Linked DNA regions of Saccharomyces cerevisiae S288C. Changing the gene in region 2 together with the main gene of any one other region gives a genetic interaction. Each region holds a gene or a part of one and is shown on either strand. Other genes may lie near its edges. The genes, in order: SNF3, MTH1 and CTK3.

Region 1 (3,761 bases), 900 kb from region 2:
TTGAGTCGCTTGAGAGTGAGGGAGGCCCTCTATTATACGTATTAAGACCAAGCCCATTTCCTAGGTCCACATATTTGGTTCGAATTTCAGCAGGCTCTGTTGTTTGCGGGATTGGAACGTCTTGCAGAGAAGGTGACACAGGGACTGTCATACCACTACTTTTGTTCGGGCTTTCAAGAATTTCTGTACTAGTAGGAATATCAACACGTTCTGGGATAGAATGAACTTCTTTTTGATTGGGACTATGATCTATTTCGCCCGATATCGTATTTCGAAAATCATTTCTTGGTGTTTCATCGTCAAAATTATTTCTTTTAGCAACAAAAGTGTTCTTTCCGTCTTCTAATCTTTGCAAAGGATCGTATTGGAATTTAAGTGCGCGTTCCCTAATATCTTTATTAAATTTTGGTGACACGACACCAGTGGATGACTTAATATATAATTCATCAATCTCTTCTAATGTCAAACCCTTCGTTTCATAAACGGTCAAGTAAACAACTATCACCCCCATCGCATTTAAGGAGCCCCAAATGAAGAATATTTTTGCACCTAATGATGATGTATGCGACCCAGTATCTACAATATAAGGGGTAATTAAAGCACAAATAAAGTTTACAAGCCAGTTAGCAGCAGCGCATATAGCCGTACATTTAGATCTCACACCCAATGGGTACAGTTCTGCTGAAATAACCCAAACAACACCACCCCATGTAGCAGAAAAGGCAGCTATGAATAGACATATAAATGCTATCATAACTTTTGCGGCCGCTACAGTCTTTAAGGAACACCCAACAATGGCCACAATAAAGTTGGCTATAGTCATGATAACACCCCCAACAACCAGCACCTTACGTCTACCAAAAAATTCCACAAAAAACAAACCAGGAACATTAAAGACAACATTAACAGCATAGGTTATAAATGAAACCAGATAACTATTACTGACTCCTGTCTTATTGAAGAAATTGACACCGTAGTAAAATATAAAGTTGATACCTGAAAATTGTTGAAATGCTTGAAGGGCAATTCCCGTAAACATCCTTAGAGTTTGCTTTGGTCTACTTTTACTTGAAATAAAACAATCAATGAAGTTCGAAGAACCAAAAGATGCCTCGTAATCATATGTTGCCTTTATTTCAACTAGTTCTTCCAGTAACCCAGAATCATGGACTGGTACACCTCTTAAAAACGATAAAGATTTAGCTGCTTCATCTAGCTTGTCTTTCAAAACGTAATAGCGTGGACTCTCAGGGAGAAAGAACATCCCGATAGCGAGAAATGACGACCAGACATATTGCAACCCTATGGGAATCCGATACGAAGATGCGTCGTTTCTTGCGTGTGTCCCTTGCGACACTGCACTTGACACGAGCAAGCCCCAGGTAATGGCCCATTGGTAAGTAGAAATAATAGCACCTCTTAATGATTTATGTGTAGCTTCTGCTTGGTATAATGGAACAACCGCTGAAATTGCGCCTATACCGATACCTGAAATGACCCTTCCCACAATCAATAATGTGATTCCTCCAGCACCTACCTGTAAAGAATTTCCGATAGAGAAGATGAAAATTGTACTGAAAATGATAGTAGGCTTCCTGCCATACGAATCAGATATAAATGGTGCAGTTAAAGCCCCAAAAAAAGTTCCCAATGACAAAAATGACACCAAAATGGACATTTGTTGGGCGGTAAATGAATCGTGATTAGGTGCTACGTGTGACTTCACATAGTTCATAGATGTAATACTGTTGATCAGACCTGTATCATAACCAAATAAAAATCCGCCAACTGCAACAAAAACACCTACGCATATAGACATCATCATAGATTGTTTCTGAGGAGGCTCTGAAAATAAAATTGAGTTGTCGTCTATGGTAGAAATGTCATCCGTAAACACGGATGTCATATTAGATTGCCTGTCAGAATTTTGCCGCTGCAAGCTCGTAGGGGTTCGTATGCTACCTGTCGTATCATCTGTTGTATGATCTTTGTTACTATTGTTTCGTCGCAGTGCTATGCCCTTCACCCTCTGAAGAGCTTTGTCTAGGAAACCCTGTTTCTCTTGGCGTAATGTTTCGCTAGAACTGTTACTATTAGGATCCATTTATAAATTCTTCTTTCTATGCCAACAAAGGCATATCCTTCTGTTTAAAAAGGTCCTCAGTAAAACTTTTCTGTTTTAATTTCTATAGTGAGGTCAACTTATAGTGACTCTCTCTGTTTTTCTTCAATAAAATGCTTCTTATCTGTCCTATGATCTCTCGATGTGTAAGTACTATCAATGCAATTTGCCGAGGATAGGACTATTGTCTAGTTTTTCTCAGTATGACTGAATTTCCCCAGATTATAGAATAATTGACAGTTCCTCCTCCTTTTGTTCTTTAGAATGTGCGATGCGGCAAGTTTAAAATTTCCCCGGAGATTTGCCGCTCGAGGTGTACATGGTAAAAACATAAGGGAAAGGCTGTAAAAAAGATATAAGAGGTATTGGTTGGTTTTGAGAAGTAATGTTAAGCTAGTTCTAATTGTGATCTTGATTAGGTTTAAACATAAAAGGATAAGTACATAAATATATAAATATAATACTATAAGACATAATAAGAAAAAAACAAGGCCAATACGCCACTTTTTGTACTGAAAGTTTTGAGACTGAATTAATTCAAAGTCGCTTCAGCTATGCCAATCAACCTCTTCACTCCTGTCAGCCAGTTACCACCCTCTTGAGCATGGTTTGTAGCGATATTAGCATGGATGACCATAGCTTCTTTGTATTTCTTTTCCTTCATTAATGCGACGAGGTCATGTAAACAATCGATTGTTGGTTGGGTTAATAAATCCTGCTTTTCCAAATGGTAGAAAAGAATCTTTAATCGTTTATCACAATCCTTTAATTGTTTGGAGTACTCCTTTGGGGTCAATGGTGTTACGCGAGCCAGTTCTTCTTTCAAGAAGTCGACAATGGGTTGTTGATCAGCTGGAATTTCATGACTGACATTCTCAGCGGAGGTATTAACCTGAGAAGCCAAAGTTGGCGGTTGAGAAGGCTGCAATGGAGAGGCCGAGCTGGAAAGGGTTGGAGGATAAGTAGCACCTTGAGATGGGTTTTGTTCTATACTAGCTAACTTGTTGCTTCTCTTCTTCATGCTAATCGGAGGGGGGCCAGTGGGAGGTTTGTTAAAAACGGGAGGAGGAGAGGTCATGGTATGGTTATTAGTATACGGACCGGTTGGAGGATAGGAGGAACCGTTGGGTTGAGTGGTTGCAGTTGGAGCATATGGATTAGAGGCCTTTGGCAACGGAGCTGGAGGCACGCCTCCAGATAATGGGGTTGCTACTCTTTGTTGTGGTGGTGGAGCATAGGGGTTCGATGAAGCTACCTGAGCGGTGTTTGACGTTTGGTTTGCTGTAGAAATAGTACCTATTGGGAATTGTTGTGATGATTGAGGAGGAGCGTATGGATTTGATATGGATGCCCTTGGTGACTCAGAAGTTGCAACCAAGGATGGGACTCTAGAATTTTTGTGTAGAGGAGGTGGTGATACCATTGACACAGAAGAGGGAGCTCTGGAAAGAGGTGGCGGAGGCATGGTACTAGCAGCATTTGCAGGGATACCATTTAATGGAGTTGGTGTCGATAGGATATTTGGAGGGGCAACAGATACAGCCTTGGCACGAGATGGTTTTTCTTTGACCTTCAAAGGCAAATCATTCCAACCATCATTGGCTTTACGGTTGAGATGTGGCGTTTGACCCGATACAGC
Region 2 (3,761 bases):
ATTATTAATAACACCAGTTTTCATATTACTAATACATTATCATACATGATGCAAAAATACTTTATAAACGGCGAAAAACATTTATCAAATTTAACAGAATCTGAAAATGCAGAGACTGATAATTAATAAAATAAAAACGGTGATTTTTTAAATGAAAGAGGGAATAATGATATCATTATGTGGAATGATCTGCTCCTTTTTGTATTTCCAACAATTTCAGTAAAGTCGTATCTTTCCTACCTAATAATATTGCCATAACAAATAATTTAGCCCCTAAATAGTCATAAGAGAACTCATTGAGAGTCAAAGAAAATCATATTCCCTAACAGAACCTTGATTTGCGACCGAATAATTGGCTTTCTTCATTACATAATGAACGTTTCTTTTAGGTCAAACTATCACCAAGGTACAATCCGATGTAGTGTAACGGCTATCACATCACGTTCTCACCGTGGAGACCGGGGTTCGACTCCCCGCTTCGGAGTTTCTTTTTTATTTTCTAGAAAAATTCACATGCTGATTCATTTACCGTTACTGTTTCACTGTGATGCTACTAGTCATATTCTTCTTATATCAATTTTTTTTCTATTGCTGTTTGCATTACCGCAACATACGATGGGAATAAACAGCACAAGCTGTTGTGTACATTTTTCCTCATCATATAACTACAATGTACATAAGTTAGCTTGAAAAAATTCTAGGTCTCATATTAATGCTTGAAATATGGAAGTATGTCGAATGTTTTATAAATAAGTCGAGAAAAATGGTTATGCTACCAGCTAACTTATATATATATAAGACTCTTTCATTCTTTTCTTTGTCTCTCAAACTTATATTTGTTTACGTTTTGGAGGAAAACTAATTATTTTTTTAATAAAGTAAACATAGCATTTCCAAGGTGCAAACCGATCCCTACCACCAAAATAAGCATACAAGACCGTTACAGCGTTAAGACAAAACTATGCTTCTAGGGGGGGGGGACAAAGCAAGGAAGATTAAAATGAATTCTTCAACTTAGGGGTACTTTAAGAGAAAGAATTCAATACTTGCGTTAGCTGACCACCCCATAGTTCGTTTAGATAAGGATATGGTGTGAAATTCATAGTTGAAGACTCTTGAGGAGGTAGGGAACATCTCTCTTCGCCCACCAAACCCAGTTTTCTCTAATACTCCATATCCAAAAAAGTGTAGCTCTATGTACATTGCCAAGGTTTTCTACTGATCAATATTTGATGGAAAAATATGACATAAGGTATGCGTATTAGTAAACTATTAGGGAGCCGCCGGTACTAATAACATCAAGGCCATCTCACGCCGAGACTTACTTGGACTTTTCTCTATTGTAAAGCGGAAAAAAAGTTATCACCCCGCCCCCTCCTCCGCTCCTCCACTAAAACGATCAGCAAATGGCAGAATAACGCGGTACTAACCAGTTTTTCCGTTCCTTGAAACCCAGTCATACTATGAAGTCCCTAAAATTATTCCGAAATTATTCCCTAGAACAAGCGGGAAAAAGGTCCGGGGAAATGGAGTCCGTGCGAGTTTTGTTAGGATGACTGCCCCACACATTTCCTCATCTTATAATTTTGTGGAAAAATTCATCGTGAGAGAAAATACGAGTCCATTTCTCCAGTGAAACTACCGTAGACATGGAATATCTGCCATTCTACCCCTTATTCAAGTGCCTTTTTTTTTTTTTTTCATCCCACATTTTATTGCTGCCTCAATCTCCATTAAGAAAAAAAATTTATATAACCAAATGACATTTTTCCTTTCTTCTCAAACTTTGTAATGCGCCTGTAACTGCTTCTTTTTTTATTAAAAAACAGCATGGAGTTTTTTAATAACTTAAGGAAACATACAAAAAGATTTGTTCATTTCACTCCAAGTATTTTTTAACGTATATTGAAAGTTCTCAATAGCGAAACCACAAGCAGCAATACAAAGAGAATTTTATTCGAACGCATAGAGTACACACACTCAAAGGAATGTTTGTTTCACCACCACCAGCAACTTCGAAAAACCAAGTTTTACAACGACGTCCATTAGAATCGACTAACAGTAATCATGGGTTTGCAAGCTCCCTACAGGCCATTCCGGAAAACACGATGAGTGGCAGTGATAATGCTTCTTTTCAAAGTTTGCCACTATCAATGAGTAGCTCTCAATCCACGACTTCTTCGAGAAGAGAGAACTTTGTGAATGCTCCTCCGGAGTACACTGATAGAGCTAGAGATGAGATTAAAAAAAGATTATTGGCCTCCTCACCTAGCAGAAGGTCACATCATTCAAGCAGTATGCATTCAGCGAGCAGGAGATCAAGCGTGGCTGAAAGTGGGAGTTTACTTTCGGATAATGCCTCGTCTTATCAATCAAGTATATTTTCTGCCCCCTCTACTGTGCACACGCAACTAACTAATGACTCTTCGTTCTCCGAATTTCCTAACCACAAGTTAATCACGAGAGTGAGCCTGGATGAAGCATTACCCAAAACGTTTTATGACATGTATTCGCCAGATATTCTATTAGCAGACCCATCCAACATTCTCTGTAACGGGCGTCCCAAGTTTACCAAGAGAGAGTTATTGGATTGGGATTTAAACGATATAAGATCGTTATTGATAGTCGAGAAGTTAAGGCCCGAATGGGGTAATCAACTACCGGAAGTAATAACGGTGGGTGATAATATGCCCCAGTTTAGGTTACAATTATTACCACTATATTCTAGCGATGAGACCATAATCGCAACGTTAGTCCATTCGGATCTGTACATGGAGGCTAACTTAGATTATGAATTCAAACTAACCAGCGCCAAATATACAGTAGCGACCGCTAGAAAAAGACATGAGCATATAACTGGTAGAAATGAAGCCGTCATGAATTTGTCGAAACCGGAATGGAGAAATATCATCGAAAATTACCTCTTAAATATAGCAGTAGAGGCACAATGCAGGTTTGATTTCAAACAAAGATGCTCCGAATATAAGAAATGGAAGTTACAACAGTCCAACTTAAAAAGACCGGACATGCCCCCACCAAGCATAATACCGCGGAAAAACAGCACAGAAACAAAATCGCTTCTGAAAAAGGCTTTATTGAAGAACATTCAGTTGAAAAACCCCAATAATAACCTTGATGAATTGATGATGAGATCAAGCGCCGCAACAAATCAACAGGGAAAAAACAAAGTCAGCTTATCTAAAGAAGAAAAGGCTACGATATGGTCGCAATGTCAGGCACAAGTTTACCAAAGATTAGGATTGGATTGGCAGCCGGATTCAGTATCCTGAAGATACTAAAAAGAAACCTTCCCGATGGTTTTTTTGGAGACTCTTCGATTGTATCAATACTATCCCATGGACATCAGTTTTAATAGAGGAGCTCCAAATTCCCAAGGAATTGAGGAAGAAGCGCCAATGATTTATATATACAAACTAGCTGTTGCAGCTTTATAGAGATTTAGTAATAAGAATTTTATGGGAACGTGGTACCGTTATCGCAGTAAAGAGTCAAGGGTAGCGAAGATCAAACCATACGATGACGAAATACCTTTAGTTCTTAGCATCACCAATCGCAGACATCCAACGTATCCGTGCGCGTAATCCTTCTCTTGGTAGTTGAGCACAGCATACAGAAGAAGCCGCGCGCAAGCGGTAAATGTCTTTCCTCCGGCCTTCTAACCACCAAAACCGATCTCGGAACATGGGGGGGGGAAGGTCCTCTGAATCGAAAAACCCGAGACAGCGAGAGGGATTTTGCAG
Region 3 (3,344 bases), on a different chromosome or scaffold from region 2:
AATATTCTTGGCACTTTTCTATCGTGGACCTCTCTGTGAACGAATGCTCTTCCTCTGCTCAGTCCTTTCCAGCTTGTAACTAGACAAATTCCCCGCGGTTCTTTATGATCTTTAAGCTCGAACCACAAGGCAACAATGAACCTTCTCAAATTTTAAATTCGCTTATGTAGCAACCATATCAGCCCGAATGTAAATTCATTTGTGTAGAAATGCGGCGTAAAACCATCGAATGAAGGGAGTAGTCTAACATGGTATTTTCCTTGGCTTGTTTTAAGTCTCGTCAAACTCCTCTTTTGTGTGTTTTCAGCAATAGGCTACGGCCAGGTCCACAGAAATTGACTGTTTTATACTCAACAACACACTCTGCAAACCGTGTTAAGTTTATTCGTCTGCACATGTTGAGGACTACAATAAAAGTAACTTAGAGGAAAATTAGCCGCCGTTTCACCTTGAATAGTTTGCTTTTCCTGAAATCGAGATAAGAAAAAGACAAGTTCATTTTGTACGCGCATTGATACGTATATACGTATATATAATACAGATACGGATTCTCTTCACAGATATATATATAACGTCATGGTACTAATATATGTAAGATGCCTTCGCAATGTCATTTAAAGCCTTGATATTTTTGTAATCGTCCTTATCAAATCCGGAATCAGTAGTTTCAAAATGCGTCCACAAGCTTTTAAATTCGGATTCATCCAGTATATCGTTGGAGGGCCTTTCGATGTACCAACTTGTCTCTTTCGACCTCTTGTGCAGTTCCCTGTCTGCTTCCATCCTGTGCAACAAAATGTTTGCATTGGTTGGCTGCGTCTGTAAGTCCGGGTTGATCGCAGTTGTATCGGAATTGAACTGCTGAAAGAAAGCCAATTTCTTCAAGTCTCTGTCCTTAAGCAGAGACTCCGTTCGTTGCAATGATTCTTTATAGTCCTTTGTAGTCCTCTCTGTCTTGACACTGTACCAGGTAGTAGCGTCTATGAGTGTGGTGTCTGATGGTGTGTGCGTGACGCTGGTGGCGTCGTAATGGATTAGTTTGGATAAGTCAAGGAATAGCTCTTTACAGGTGGCTTGATTCGTGAGGGATTTCCAGTCCTGGCAGGGCAGACAAAGCTCAAAAACCAAGTCTATGTCCATGAGTAGCACTTCGTTTAACACTTTTGTAACATTGGTATTGGAATGGCTATGCGGATATAAGTTTCTTATTATTCTAACATAGTATATCACTACGTCCAGTCTATCTAGTGGGTCCATCTTCATGGTTGTATCGAACAAACATTGGTGGAAGTCCTCGTAGTGATGTCTGTAGTTTCTCAAGTAGAACTGTATAGGGTCATTGTTCAGCTTTTGTTGCGATGACGGTGGTGTGGTGGTCGACGATGATGTGATAGAGTCTCTGGTCTTGTGCAGCGTCTTTTGCAGGTTCTTCAGGACCTGAATGAATTGTAATCTAGCTTCAAGAGAGTCCATCCTTGCTGTATACCTTTACCTGGCAGTGCTTTTGTGAGAAATTAACTACCATCTGGTATTCTTTTTCCTTTTCTTTCTAAAATTCTAGTTTTTCATGTTGTGCTTAATTAGGAAAAACAGTGAATTTGAACAGTTGCTGAAGTTGAGATCAGTCTTAAATATACATTGCTCAAAGAAGTACAAATACATATAAATATAAATATCTATGGTTTTCTCAACTAGTTATTATGTGGCATATACGAATGTTTTAGTGGTATGCTGGAAATGAATGTCATATGGTTGCGTTTTTCTCTGTAGAATCGGAATTCTTAGTGATATGTGCTGCCGGCGATGGTTGCGTCCGTGGCTGATTTGATGCTGCTGTGCTTGTGGACAGATCAAGATATGGTTTCACAATGAAAGGCCGCTGTAAGTAGTTGTAGGGCCCCATCAGGAAAGAAGATGACGGGTCTTGATTGCTCCCATTTATAGTAAAGTTCATGTTCACGTTCACGTTGCTGTTAAGGTTGTGGTTTGAATTATGATTAATGCTGTGGTCGGCGTTGTAATTTGAATTCACGTGGCCGCCAGAGTTTCCCGTTGAAGATAACAGGATCTTGTGGGTGATGAACGGCTTGGGCGGAACGACGTCCACTCTCTGTTGCTGTAGTAGTTGTTGCTGCTGCTGCTGCTGCTGTTGTTGTTGTTGATCCATGAATGACTGATGGGTATAATCCAGAGATGGAGGCAATGAAGTTGACGCCGCTGCTGCATGCGGCGGTGGTGCTGCTGATGAATTATGAGCTGAGTGAGACGACGGGCTGTGCGTCAACTCTCTCAGTGCGTCCACAGCTTCCATGTCCCTGGAACTAATAAGACGCGACTCCTGATCTTGCTGAGACCCGTCGGTCTCTTTACCCCCAGTATCTTGCCTCCTCCTCCTACCACTGCCAGGCTTTCTTCCCTCTCTCAACGTCTTCCCTTTTCCGGGCTTTCTGCCGCTTCCAGGTTTCCTTCCTTGTGCCAAAGTTTTCGCCATCACCCAATGTCCTGCTCCAATATACTTTAGGACAGTTTGTAGATTCACAAGGTGATCTGTTCAAAAACTCCACTGACAATAATAGAAATTTTTTTTTTTTCATTTTCTTTCAAAACTCATCACCAAAAAAAAAAAATTGATGCATTAGCATCGGCTTCATAAACGAAAAAAAAAAAAAGAAGTTGAAAAGAAAACATGATATAAATAGTTGCAAACTAAAGTAAGATAACTGAAGATGATTAGTCCTGTTTGCATACATAGTTCTGTTCTTGTTCTACGCTGATGCGATCAATAAAGTCGCTTGAAACGCGACTGGTAGAAGCCAGCTTAAGCACAAATGGTGTATATGGGAGTGTTACCCGATGCTTTTATGTAGAAAATCTTGAACTCTTTAAAAAAGAGAGTAAAAGCAATGGAGAGAGAGGCAAGCAAGCAAACAAACGTGTAATTGAGGGACTCATAAAGGGCAATGACTTCCAAAACGTCAGAAAGTGGTACCGGTACCCAAAGTACCATAGTTCAGCTGAGGAACCTACCGGATTTGACGGAAATTAGTCACTTGGAAATAGATGCTCCCGTAGTTGAAATTCTAAAGAAAACAGTACTTTTCCAGTTGAATTCGTTGAACATCTGCATTTCAAACTTTGCATTGGATGAGCTGGTCAACCTCGTGACCGTCCAAATGGACGGCATGTTTCGGAACCTGCACAATTTAACACTTTTACAAAGAAGGTCGCAAGCTTCTCAAGCAGATTTGAAATTGTTGCTTCGAGAGTTTAACCTGGATGCGCCCTCCCTTTATCAGCAGTTTCAGGCCTCAGAATTCATCAAATCGAAGCATTCCACGGAATAT

Evidence for each region.
Region 1: of MTH1 (region 2) and SNF3, a mutation in one rescues a mutant of the other (synthetic rescue), as found in Saccharomyces cerevisiae (3 studies listed by BioGRID, with this or other methods).
Region 3: mutations in MTH1 (region 2) and CTK3 together harm fitness more than expected from each alone (negative genetic interaction), as found in Saccharomyces cerevisiae (2 studies listed by BioGRID).

The regions. Positions count from the first base shown.
Region 1 is NC_001136.10:109,923-113,683, reverse strand, and holds the start of SNF3 (glucose sensor), read right to left. Parts: upstream 2,105-3,761; coding exon 1-2,104. Other genes in the region: SEC31 (Sec31p), read right to left, coding at 2,655-3,761.
Region 2 is NC_001136.10:1,013,930-1,017,690, reverse strand, and holds MTH1 (Mth1p), read left to right. Parts: upstream 1-1,988; coding exon 1,989-3,290; downstream 3,291-3,761.
Region 3 is NC_001145.3:43,192-46,535, reverse strand, and holds CTK3 (Ctk3p), read right to left. Parts: upstream 1,474-3,344; coding exon 583-1,473; downstream 1-582. Other genes in the region: DAT1 (Dat1p), read right to left, coding at 1,745-2,491; TAF8 (Taf8p), read left to right, coding at 2,961-3,344. UniProt on the Saccharomyces cerevisiae protein: Gamma subunit of the CTDK-I complex, which hyperphosphorylates the C-terminal heptapeptide repeat domain (CTD) of the largest RNA polymerase II subunit.